Linked DNA regions of Tribolium castaneum. The protein of the gene in region 2 interacts with the protein of the main gene of each other region in a biochemical or structural test. Links are inferred from orthologs where the notes say so. Each region holds a gene or a part of one and is shown on either strand. Other genes may lie near its edges.

The links.
Region 1: the proteins of exd (region 2) and Ubx are reported together in a solved structure, tested with the Drosophila melanogaster proteins (2 studies listed by BioGRID). The link is inferred for Tribolium castaneum from reciprocal best matches to the Drosophila melanogaster genes exd and Ubx.

Annotation. Positions count from the first base shown.
Region 1 is NC_087397.1:7,099,886-7,106,842, reverse strand, and holds the start of Ubx (ultrabithorax), read left to right. Parts: upstream 1-3,156; coding exon 3,157-3,793; intron 3,794-6,957. UniProt on the Drosophila melanogaster protein: Sequence-specific transcription factor which is part of a developmental regulatory system that provides cells with specific positional identities on the anterior-posterior axis. Binds the consensus region 5'-TTAAT[GT][GA]-3'.
Region 2 is NC_087400.1:5,270,143-5,276,028, reverse strand, and holds exd (extradenticle), read left to right. Parts: upstream 1-2,918; 5' UTR 2,919-2,922; coding exon 2,923-4,008; 3' UTR 4,009-4,326; downstream 4,327-5,886. Other genes in the region: pre-mRNA-processing factor 17, read left to right, coding at 1-420, 472-686, 839-947, 997-1,151, 1,203-1,558, 1,610-1,787; GAPcenA (rab GTPase-activating protein 1-like), read left to right, coding at 5,254-5,578. UniProt on the Drosophila melanogaster protein: Transcription factor which acts with the selector homeodomain proteins altering the regulation of downstream target genes such as wingless (wg), teashirt (tsh) and decapentaplegic (dpp), thus affecting segmental identity.

The DNA of each region.
Region 1 (6,957 bases), on a different chromosome or scaffold from region 2:
TTACAATGGTATAATTAACTTAAGATGAAAATTGCAATGGTGCACTTCCAGAGCGTTTAGGGGGAAATTAGCCTGATGGAAAGCGGAATGATGGCGCTGGGACGAGATGGGTTATTATCTGATAAGAGACGAGGATTACACGGATAAAAGTAATTGCTCAAGAGCCGCCAATCATTTTTCTAATCTGGGATCGAGTAAATAACACCTTTAACACCTAATTCTGTCTTCTAATCAAAATTCGTGCGTTTAGAATCTGTTTTACATAATAATTATAATAATTAGGGCACGGTTTGATAATCTCAGGCAAAATTAGGATTTGTTGCGAGATCACTCACACAAATAAATGGGTCCAACTTTGACCATATAATAAACTATTCTTATGGCTGTAATAACTCATCATTATCTTGGTTAAGGAAGGACAACAAACATAGGATAAGCCTCCGAAAGAACGTTAGTTATGGGTCCAGCTTCTCGAACGAAGTTTTATCAAAATACTAGTCATTTAATTAATTAATCGGTTTTCAAATTTTTCACCTAACGCATCAATTCTGAAGTGTGAACTGTCTAAGGACTTTAACGATTTGCGGTGGTAATAAATTTTTCGCTAGGTAAATAGACTTTGTCAGTGAAAGACGTCGTGGCCGCCATTTTGCACACAATGACAAAGCTTGAAAGCTCCGTTTTCTCTATTAAAAAGTCTTGGCATTTGAAATAAATATTTCAGCGGCACGTGTGCGTTGAAATAAATTTCGTTTTTGAAAACCATCCACATAACTGTTTATGTAATGGCTCCATTATTATTCACAAGGTTTATAGTTGATTAAGTTAGCAATGTAATTCTGTGGGACGTGTTTTACATCAATATTTTATCTATTTTATCTGTATACTTGCGTAAACAAAACATGTTTCTCCTTACCTATATCTTGGCGAATAATCGTAATAATTCCGGAAGCCGTCCGCTGATCGTTTATTTGAAGAATCTGTGTTGTATAGTCACTTAAAAATAAATAAATCTCGGAATGAGAACCATGCCGAAACATAAAATTAATTATAATTGTTTATGGCGTTCTAATGTTATGTAGATTGGTTTTATTGCAACATAAAATTAGTACTTAAGCAGGAAAAAGTATCAAATTATAAAATTATCACTCAGGAATGACTTATCTTTGGTATAAAACACGTAGAACAAACCTACCGGCTATTATAGTAGCTATTATGTGCTCGTAAAAATACAATAAACTTTCGTTCGGCCAAATTCATCCTTATGTCGAGAAGTGTTTGGAAAGTGTCAAGTTCGGCACTTTCAATATGCAAGGAGGTAAGACAGCAATAAAAGTTGATTTTATTACGATTTGAGTGATCGTAAATGTCACCTACGACCATGGCAAAATTATGACACCGCCACTCCATAAAGTGCCAGGAGCGTGCCAATGCCGTAAAATTTTTACTACTGGTTTGTGTAAACTGTAATAATCTGGCCTTTTTCCGTCCCCGCCCTCGGAACCTCAACCATTCAGTAACGACAAGAGGATAAGAGCAAAAGGGATTTATTTAAACACCCGGACGGGCTTTTTCCTATTTTGTTATTGACGACTCATTGTAGTATATACTACCTATTATCAGGATAACATTAAATTATTATTGGTTGTTAATAATTTTACTGTTTACTGAATAGAAATTTATTACATTATTATTTGTTTTTATTTGTTTGAAGAAAATATTTATACATACCTAGATCCTAGATCTACTATTGTTGGGAGATTTTTGTAGTTAGAATAATTCCAGTAGAGACACTTCTATAATTTTTTTGAACTAATTAATCCGTTTGGAATGGGGTACGAGTATTTTTCGATGAGATTTGATTTGGATTAGGTATGTGCACGAAGAAAAAACGGTCCAAAATAATTTAGTTTTATTAGTTTGAATGTTTTTCGGGCAGTAAAATTTACAAAAGCACATTCATTCAAATGCAATTTAAGTTTATTGTATTTTGGGAACACAGAAAAGTAGGTACATTAAGGTAGTATATTAAAACCCTTACTCGAAAATGAGCAACAATTAACTTTAGCTTTGGTTTTTATACCGACATGGTACAGTGTAAGATGAAGTCAAAAAAGCGAGAATGTTTTAATAGGTACCTGAAGCAGTAACAAAGGGCTGAATGCATACCGCTCTTTATACAGCCTAAAAACATTTAAAAAAATGGAGTGTTTCTTTGATTTTAACTTGTTTAGCGGTTGGAGTCTGATTTGTTGCCTAAAAAATCAAGTGCGATGAAAAGTTACAGAACAAGATCTTATCTACCCGTCGTCAATAAATCTTACTGTTTTAGTTGAATATTAATATAAAATTACGTACTGTTTTTAGAAATTGTGAATTTAATTGTTTTAACAAACCAAATAGACATTAAAATTGTGATGCAGAATGCAAAAAAATAATAAATAAAATAAGCTTTCCTTTTTGTACTTTAACGGTGAATATATTGAGGGTTTGGCAGCGGAATCAGAGTATTTTAAATGTAGCGTTTACTTTTCGATGATTTTGTTTATATTGGTGGTGTGATGGTCGTTTTATCTTTTATTGGCAATTGATGTTGCTCGTTTCGGCAAGAGTGTCGTTTTGAAAGGTTGAGCAATTGTCCGAGAGCTGGCGCCACGCGCCTCCCCTCTTCGTCTCGTTGGGGGCCACTTGCGCAATGCTTGAAGGCTGTGACGAATTCAATTGCTATTGGTTCATGTATGATCCCTTCCATTAGAGCGTCTTCGTGTAGAAGCACGTGCTCTAGGGGTTATTACGGCCTTCGCGACCCTTCTGGAGGAAACCTAGCCTTTGGAGAAGCCGGTCAGGCGCTAATTAGGTGCGACCGTGTCCGATCGGCCGACAATACAGGTAGCTGCAATAATGAGCCGCGTGCTCGTCCGGAGTGGGGGGAGAGGGGAGCGATGGGCCGGGATGTGTGGGCCGGAGCAGACTCCGGAGCTCCAGTGGGTTCCCATCCGCGAGCAAAGTAGCCAACGTGTGCATTCCGGAGCGAGCTGCTGTGTGGTGTGCTCGTGCGAGCTCTTATCACCTTATCACTCTCGCTAATAACAATAATAATAATCGTGTGACTGTCATGTCCGGTTCCGGTGTCGAGTGACTTGTGCCGCCCCCAGCATGAACTCTTACTTCGAGCAGAGCGGCTTCTACGGCAGCCACCACCACCAGAGCGGGTCGGTGGCGGGCCACCACCACGAGCAGTCGGCGGCGGCGGCGGCGGCCTACCGCTCCTTCCCGCTGTCGCTCGGCATGTCCCCGTACGCCTCCAGCCAGCACCACCACCACCACCTGCAGGCGCGGCCCCCGCAGGACTCGCCGTACGACGCCTCGGTGGCGGCCGCCTGCAAGCTCTACTCCTCCGAGGGCCAGCAGAACTCCAACTACTCCTCCAACTCGAAGCCGGACTGCTCCAAAGGCAACGCCGACCAGAACGGATACGCCTCGGTGGTGGCGGCGGCCGCGGTCAAGGACGTTTGGCAAAGTGCGACTTCTGGCGGTGGCGCTAATCTCACGAACAGTTTGACGGGGCCGGTCAGGCCGGCGGCATGCACGCCGGACTCCAGGGTTGGCTACGGGTCGGTCGGGCTCGTCGGCGGAGATCCGGCCTCGAGTCCGGGGGCGGCCGCAGGACGGACGGGCAACTCGCTCTCGTGGAATAACCCCTGCAGTATCAACTCGACCTCTTCGCAGCCCGTTGGCACGCAGATACACCAGCAGACCAACCACACGTTTTACCCCTGGATGGCCATTGCAGGTTGGTGATAGGTCTAAGCCTACGGACTCCTGCTGCGGACGCTATTTGCAGGAAACGCGCTAACTCCGGCCGAATCGCACGCCGTTCAAACGTGCACCACACTGTAACATTTCAAAAGCACAAACCAAAAATGTTTCATTCATTGCTGTGACACTAAAAAAATGTCATTTCAAAATACCAAACGTGAAAATAATAGTCGTTTCTAAACACATAGTGCGAATCAAAAGTCAAGAATAAATTTTTTTGGCGGGAGATTTTTTTAAAAATTTCGAGCAAACTGTTTGTTTCCGGGTTTTTATTGTACCTACTTTTTGGACCACCACGGTTCAAGTTACGATTTTATTAACTAGTTATATTTAAAGACAGTATGTTTAGTTACGACTTTTTTTATTTATATCTCCATTAAAAAAATAATAGTTAATAATAATTAATTAAGAAACGAACTTTTTACATAATAAATGTTCTAAATAGTTTTGCCGAAAAACAGATTTTTAGTAAGTTTGTAAACGATTTTTTAACTGAATATCTTTCTAGTCGTCCGGAAAATGATTTATATTAATGATTAAATAAATTATTTATCTGTATCTATTTTTCCTAAATTTCTGGTGGGTATTCTTTGATTCAAAAATAAATTTCTTGGCACAATATGACGAACCGTTTTATTTTATTATTTGTGATTCATCTTCGTCGTCTGCTTCCTCTATTTTCTAAAATTAAAATTTTATATAATTTCAGTCGATAGTAAAGTACGTTAAATTAGTAATTTATTTGGGAATGTTAAAGTTGCCGACGTACAACACCATAAATTTTGTTTATTTTTTCAATGATTTGTCATTCATAATTTGTGCCTTATTTATTGCCGCTGGAACTACTTAATTATCTATTGCAAAATAAAATAAATTTGAATAAACAAAATTTTTTGTGCTAATTGTTGCCCTTTGGCCCGTGCGCGCGATGTCCGCACCTCAAAGTTATGTAAATGTTGAACCTGCAGCGAAGTCAAGTGCGTGTAAAATCAGGGTTGAATTGCCACATCTCTGTCCCTCAGTCGAATTTCTCTGTTCTCGTCCTCGTCGAACAAATCGGGTCCTTGTCAGAGCACGAGGGACGATCAGCTGTTCGCCTATTTGGCCGTCTAGACGCCTTTGAAATGAGCACGTCCTATATTCCCGTAAAAAAATCGTCCGCTTTGACCAAAATAATCCGTGTTTTGAGTTCGGCGTTCGTAATTCTCAAGTCTTGGGTCAATGGAATATAATTTGGTTAAGGTCGTTTCATATTTCGGGAGGACATCGCTAACGAGCCGACAAAAAATTTCGTTCGGTCGTTATTGCGAGACGCTCTATTCATACGCTGGAGAGTAATGAGTTGATGGCGAACTCTAATGTTCAAAGGTATATCTTTTCGAAATTACTACAACGTCGCTGAAGAATTATTGATTGAAGAAGCGGCTGTGGTTTTCACGGGCCGCCGATTGCTTAAATTGTTTTTATTTATAGTTTGATTTATTAGCGCTATTGCCGCCAACGCACGATCTACTACACTTATGTTATCGCGCTATACAGGGAGGACGATTAAAAGCGTGTTCGGAGATGATTCCGACGGATTTTATTTATTAGAGAAACTCGTATGTCAAAGTTCAATCTTCTATAACAACATCATAAATTCGCAAAATTTGCATAAAGCTACAACGTTCTTTTATTTTATTTCATTTTATTAACATAACAGGACGGAAATGGGAAAAGTACCAAAATTTTTCAAATTTTTCCTGACTAAAAAAAATTGGCAACTGTAACATGATCCCATAGTGTTGGGCACGTCACTCAGATGGCGCCCTCATCCACTTTCATAATTTAACCAGAGGGGTCCGTCAGGTACAAGGGGCCGACCCTCGCCTGTTCAAAAAGTGCCATTCAATATGAGCGCTTCCTTATTTTTCGTATAAGACTTTGAGAGCGTTCCACTCTGTATATTTCCTCATTCACATGATAATTCCTTCGTCTACCGCGCCGGAGTCCCGGACTTGTCCCGAATTGTGCCGGACTCAGTCCGGATGAGCGATGACGTATTACCGTGGCCCAGTCAGTTACACCCCCTTTTGTATTTTGCTCGCTACGGACCGCACCAAAAACATTTGCTTGTTTCTTCCACCAAGGTATTAGCGTAGGTCAGGTGTCTCATTCGGGGATGTTTCACTGTTTCTCGTTCGACTGTGACGAAATCGGCACCGATCTGAAACTGATAAACGGCCAAGTGAGAATGATTCATAGGTGGACGAAAATGCACCCGACGGGGGTTGCTTTCGGACGAACGCGCCTTCTTGCCTCCACATGAAACCGCATCGATTTTTGCCGTTTCCGGAAACGGCAGTCAAAAAGGGCTAATTTTAAAGCGTCGTCTTAGTGGGTGTTTGAGGAAAATTAGATTGTTATGCATGAAGTGTTTGTATTTATGGTTGCCATTTCTCTATTTTTAGTTTATTGATCATTATATTTATATGGATATATATTGATATAAATAAACGCTGATTTATGGAAAGTTGTTATTCATTTTTAGCAAAAATGAAACTAAAATTGCATATTGCGTGTGGTTACTACATAAATTTCGTATGTTAATACGAAACTGTATATCGCTTTAGGAGACAAGTTGAAAGTATGTCTTCTTAGACATTGTGATTCATTTTTAATTAATGGACGCAGCTTATTTGTTTTTCTCATTAATTATTATTAGAAACGTAGAAGAAGTTGGTAGCTGGCAATTTTTGCTTTGAAAACTCTAAAACAATTCATTAAATCGTGTAAAAAATGTAAATTTTATTTTAACTAAACCAAGCTTACACCTACTACTGGAATTATAGTCCAGAAACAACTGGCAGTAGTTGATATAAAAGTGTACAGTCACCCGAAATGAAAAAGACGCGTCCATAAAAAACACGCCTACCGTACATTTTTTAATCAGATTTGATCAAAAAACGCTAAGATCCAGAAAATAAATCTAAATTGGTGGCATTTTGACAAAATGGGCTTAAAAATTACAAAAATAAATTGAAACTTTCTCTCCAAGTTGTTTGTTTTTGGGTAAGATTTCGTCAAGAGTAGACTGAAAGATGACAAAATTCGGTCGCAAAAGGAGTTATTTTTTACTTTTTTAAAGCCTTTAAATAC
Region 2 (5,886 bases):
GCACCCGAAACATACTTTCGGGTTACGTTGAGCCAGCGTATGTGAACGAGTTCCAATTCGAAAACCAAAGACGGACGTTTAACAGTTTTGGTTACGCTCTGGACCCCACTGTGGGCAGTGCCGCTGAAGGCACCAAAGTTGTTACAACGACTGGCCAATGCGATGATATTGACCCGGAAGCAAAAACAGTGTTTGAATCAACCAAGCTGAGACCTTTAGATAAGAGAAAACGTAAAAAGAATAACGACCCGAGCGATATTGAGGGGTTTTTGGGGCCCTGGGGTGGTTTTGTGGACGAACAAAGGGTCATGAAGCCGTCTGATGAGGAGGCAGCAGAGTTGGACGAATTATTGTCGAAAAAGAACAAGAAGGGGAAACCCACAGAAGACAAACCAATCGAGGAAAAATCAATTTTGCACAGTAAGAGTGACTATTGGGTGAATTTTGCGAAAATTGCTGGTTTTGTTACAGTTTCAGACGCTGTGGATTATCAGGGAAGGAGTTTTCTACATGCACCTCAAGATGTTGGTGTCAATTTGAAATCGGACAGCCCCCCGGAGAAGTGTTTCCTTCCGAAAGCACATATTCATACGTGGTCGGGGCACTCGAAAGGAATTGCGGCCATTCGGTGGTTCCCCCGAACGGCTCATTTGTTACTGTCTGCTAGCATGGACTGCAGAATTAAGGTCTGTCTAGTGGCCTATGATTCTTAATTTGAATAAGATGGCAGCACCGAATAGTTTAATTTCAGTCACAGCCAACTTAATGTTGGTTTATGAAAAGTCACTATTAGCTTTTTCAAAACTATTAAAAAAAATAATCGTATTTTTTGTTGTAGTTGTGGGAAGTGTATAACGAAAGGAGATTAGTTCGCACCTACTACGGCCATAAGCAAGCCGTTAGGGACATTTGTTTCAATAATTCAGGAAAACTGTTTCTTTCGGCCGGTATGTTTATTTATTTTTTTGGTATATTAACAAAAAAAATGTGATTTAGGTTACGACAGGTATATTAAATTGTGGGATACTGAGACTGGTCAAGTGGTCAAGCGATTTTCAAGCCGCAAAATCCCCTATTGTATCAAATTCAACCCTGATAAGAACAAACAACACCTCTTCGTTGCTGGAACTTCTGATAAGAAAATCATTTGTGTATGTGTGCTTTTTTTTCAGTTTTTGTTTTTTTTTAATTATTTATTATAGTGGGACACCAGATCTGGCGATATTGTCCAAGAGTACGACCGCCATCTGGGAGCAGTTAACTCTATTACATTCGTTGACGACAATCGCCGATTCGTTACGACTTCGGACGATAAAAGTTTGAGGGTCTGGGAGTGGGACATCCCCGTTGATATGAAATACATCGCAGACCCGACCATGCACAGCATGCCTGCTGTGACGCCAGCACCCAATGGAAAATGGTTGGCTTGTCAAAGCATGGACAACAAAATTGTCATTTTCTCGGCATTAAATCGCTTCAAAATAAATCGAAAAAAGACGTTTACGGGACATATGGTGGCTGGGTATGCCTGCACACTTGATTTTTCACCAGATTTGAGGTTTGTTATTATTTTTTTAACAGTTGTAGGTTTTAACAATTTTTTTTGTAGTTATTTAGTGTCGGGTGACGCCGATGGTAAGTGCTACATCTGGGATTGGAAAACTACAAAGTTGTATAAGAAGTGGAAAGCGCACGATAATGTCTGTATCAGTGTGCTGTGGCATCCGCACGAGCCGAGCAAGTTAGTGACAGCAGGCTGGGATGGACTTATCAAATACTGGGATTAAGTTTCCAAGAAGGTGTAAATTTTAAGCGAAATAAAATATTTTAATTAGAAGATACGTCCTTTCGCTATGGTCACGTGATCGTTATAACCAATCAACGTAAGCGATTTCGGTCACCTGACTTATGTCTACGGTGAAACGTCACTCATTTTGCGTTTTTAAATGCCTACGTCTAATTTTGACAGCGAGATTTTAATTCCGCCGTTAAAGCATTTAAAAGATTAGAAAAAAATTAGATAAAAAATGATGTTTTTGCAATTGGAAAAAAATAAAGAATGATTATTAGTATTTTATTTAATAGTAATTAAATTTTCTAACATCAGCATTTGCTTTTTTTTCAAAAAATCTTTGTTCTCTAAATCGTCCTTTTAATTATTAATTTTTTTAATTAATTAATTTTTTCTCAAACTGTATTTTTTCGTCTTTGCAACAATCACACATTAAATTCACTTTCAAAAGACAATAAGTTGCTACTTTCGTTCGTTCCTATGTTGATTTCTAAATTTTCTAGATAATTTAAATGGAGAATTAAATACTTTAATGGGACTTTAATTTTTAAATATATATTTAAAATGATGAAACGGGGTGTTCAGTATTATAACTAATTAAGTCCGTTAGACGAGTTTTGAGTTACACAGGTCCGGACTTTGCTGGTATTTTGCAAATTTGTTTTATGGTGGAGTGGCATAGTTTTTTGGTAATGACTAAAAGACAACGTAGATTGTGAAATAACGTAATTAGAGTATGATTTTACAGCATACGTTTCTATTTTCTATATTTTTCTCAAAATTGACACAACTTTTGGTCATTTACTTCAGATTTTTTGCTGTTGAATGACTGTTAGATGCTGATTTCAAGAGAATCAACGATTTTTTCTATCATTAGTTCTCTGGTCCTCCCTAGTTTGTGAATGAATCCAAGTATAAACAACTCTCGCTTTAGTAAACCACTTTTTCCAATCCGTGCCAAAATTTGAATATCATCCAAAGGCCATAAATCTCCCCCACCCGCCCCTCAAAATCCATAAAATTCCTGCTTTCGCGCATGCGCCCCTACTACCCATCCCGCAAACATCCTCCCGCTTTGTTTACGTATGCTGTCAAGCGCGTCCATTTCCTAGTGCCGTTTGCGTGCCCCCATGGACGACCCCGGCAGAATGATGGGCCACACCGGCGGCGGCCTGATGCCCCCTCAGCCGTACATGAACGCCCAGGACGCGCCCGCGGGCGGCGAGAACGAGCCCCGCAAGCAGGACATCGGTGAGATCCTCCAGCAGATCATGAACATCACCGACCAGAGCCTCGACGAGGCCCAAGCGCGCAAACACACCCTCAACTGCCACCGCATGAAGCCGGCCCTGTTCTCCGTGCTGTGCGAAATCAAGGAGAAGACGGTGCTCAGCCTGCGGAACACGCAGGAGGAGGAGCCCCCCGACCCCCAGCTGATGCGGCTCGACAACATGCTGATCGCCGAGGGGGTGGCGGGCCCCGAGAAGGGCGGCGGCGCGGGGGCCGCCGCCTCGGGCTCCGCCGCCGCCCAGGCCGGCCAGCCCGACAACGCCATCGAGCACAGCGACTACAGGGCCAAACTCGCCCAAATCCGCCAAATCTACCACCAAGAACTGGAAAAGTACGAACAGGCGTGCAATGAGTTCACCACACACGTTATGAACTTGCTGCGGGAGCAGTCCCGGACTCGCCCAATCACCCCGAAGGAAATCGAGCGGATGGTGCAAATCATACACAAGAAATTCTCCTCGATTCAGATGCAGCTGAAACAGTCGACTTGCGAGGCTGTTATGATCCTCAGATCGCGGTTTTTGGACGCCAGAAGGAAACGCCGGAATTTCAGCAAGCAGGCGTCGGAAATTCTAAACGAGTATTTTTACTCGCATTTGTCTAATCCCTACCCCAGTGAGGAGGCGAAGGAAGAGTTGGCTAGGAAATGCGGGATCACAGTGAGCCAGGTGTCGAACTGGTTCGGGAACAAACGAATCAGGTACAAGAAGAACATCGGGAAGGCGCAGGAAGAGGCCAATTTGTACGCGGCGAAGAAGGCGGCAGGGGCGTCGCCCTACAGCGGCACCCCGACCCCCATGATGTCCCCAGCGCCCCCGCAGGACTCCATGGGCTACTCCATGGGGTCGGCCTACGACCAGAGCTCAGCCTATGACGCCAGTAGCTGTGGTTACGACCCAATGCACGCACAGGAACTGTCGCCCTAATCAAACCCTAGCTTAATTTTAAGGAAATACAGTTGTATACTAACCCATGTATACCGAATTTTGTATCGTGTACAGTGTGTTTCTGGGTTCAATTGCTTCAAGTTTTACTTTTCTGATAGTATAGGACGTACTTGCAATATATTTTTAGGTTGATTGTTTTAGGAGTTAAGGCGAGTTTTTCTTCAGTATTTTTTGTATATTTACTTATTTTTATCGATAAGGAGCAGCTGGGTGAGAGAACTTTGCTTTAACGCCGAGGTTTTTCCATCGAAAATGAAATTACAGTGCTTACTATTTAAATAAATAACTGTAGTAACACGTGGATCATTTTTTCAACATACATGAAATAATCACAGAAAATCCTACATGGAAATAAAGGGCGTAGAGAGACTCACGTGAATAAAAGCCCCATAAAAATTAACTCACTAAAAAAAAACAATCACTGTCATTGTGGATAGATTTATAAAATAATTACTCAGATGTCAATAAAAGTTTTAGATTTTTTAGACGAAGCGTCGTTAATTTAATTCGCAATTAAATGCGTGATTAACTGGACACGTGACCAAATTAAAGAAATGTGATTGGTGATTTAAGAGGTATGCAGAAATAACTTTCTAGGATAAAATTTAGTTCCTCTGTAAACCGAGATTCTAGGGGTGCAATTTCAGTTGGGACACCCTGTATAGAGACCAGAGGGGGAACGTAATACCCACTTATTACATAAATCACAACTTATCGTGAGCTTTTTTCTTTTTGGTATATGGGTATTTTTATCTGTGTGGGCTTTAAATTTTTCTGCTCAGACCCCACAATTAAATTTGCCGCTGTGACACTTCCAGTTATACCAACACTACACCGAGTTGGGCCCGTCGATATACGCTTATTTTGGCTTAAATTTTATTATTTTTGCTTTGATAACCACTTTGCGTGTTTAGCGAAACAATCATTGTGGAAATTCGCCCGAAAACGGTCAATTTTGGGTCAATTCCGCGTCTGGTGTGTGTCGTGTGGGTGTCAGCCCTGCCAAAACAAAAACCGATCAAATGTCAAATTCCTGACGTCCACACTTATTTACTCACATTTCCACCTCAAATCGTCTCTCATTTCGCATAATGTGTTTAAAAGTGTCATTTTCCCTCCTGGATTAACTCACAGTCGTGGTGCACGCCCCGCTCGTCGATGATGTAGTGGCAGGTTGCAAGGAGGCGTAATAAGATATTGTGTTGTCTCGAGTGGCCCCACACTATGGAGGATAGTTTGAGCGTGAAATCAAATGAGTCGGTGGCAACGAGCGAAGAGTTTGATTTCGTTGGGGACAAGCCTGCGAACAAGACGCCCACGTTGGATATTAAGGGGGATCTAAGCGAGTTGAAGAGTGCCTTGACGGAGGTGCTGCAGGAGTCGGGGAGGAATATGGACGAGGTGGACGGCAAGGAGAAGAAGATCGGGCATTCGACGTTTTATGGGTGTTTGGTGGAGCCGGGGAAGGACCCGCTGTCAAGGACGGGGGAGGACAGTCCCGGGGAAAAACAGGACTCGGTCAAGCAGGACTCCAATGAGGAGGAGGAAGGTGAGGAAGCTGCGAAAAAGTTACGTTTGTTGCCTTATACGACCGTGAAATTGTTGATAAGAGAAGTGTATCTAAAATTATTCATTCTTTGTTGTGGTGGTGATGTCATGACGTGTTTATTTACAAATGCAAATTGAAGTAATTGTTTTTGCTTGAATGAAAAAATAATGCCACTTGTTCCGCGAAGCGGGATTTATTGAAATAAATCTACAGGTTGTCTCACAAAATTTAATCGAACAAACCTATTAGCTGTTTCAGAACTGTAAAAACGCCGACGTTGCATTTTACCAAATTATTTTTTTAAAATA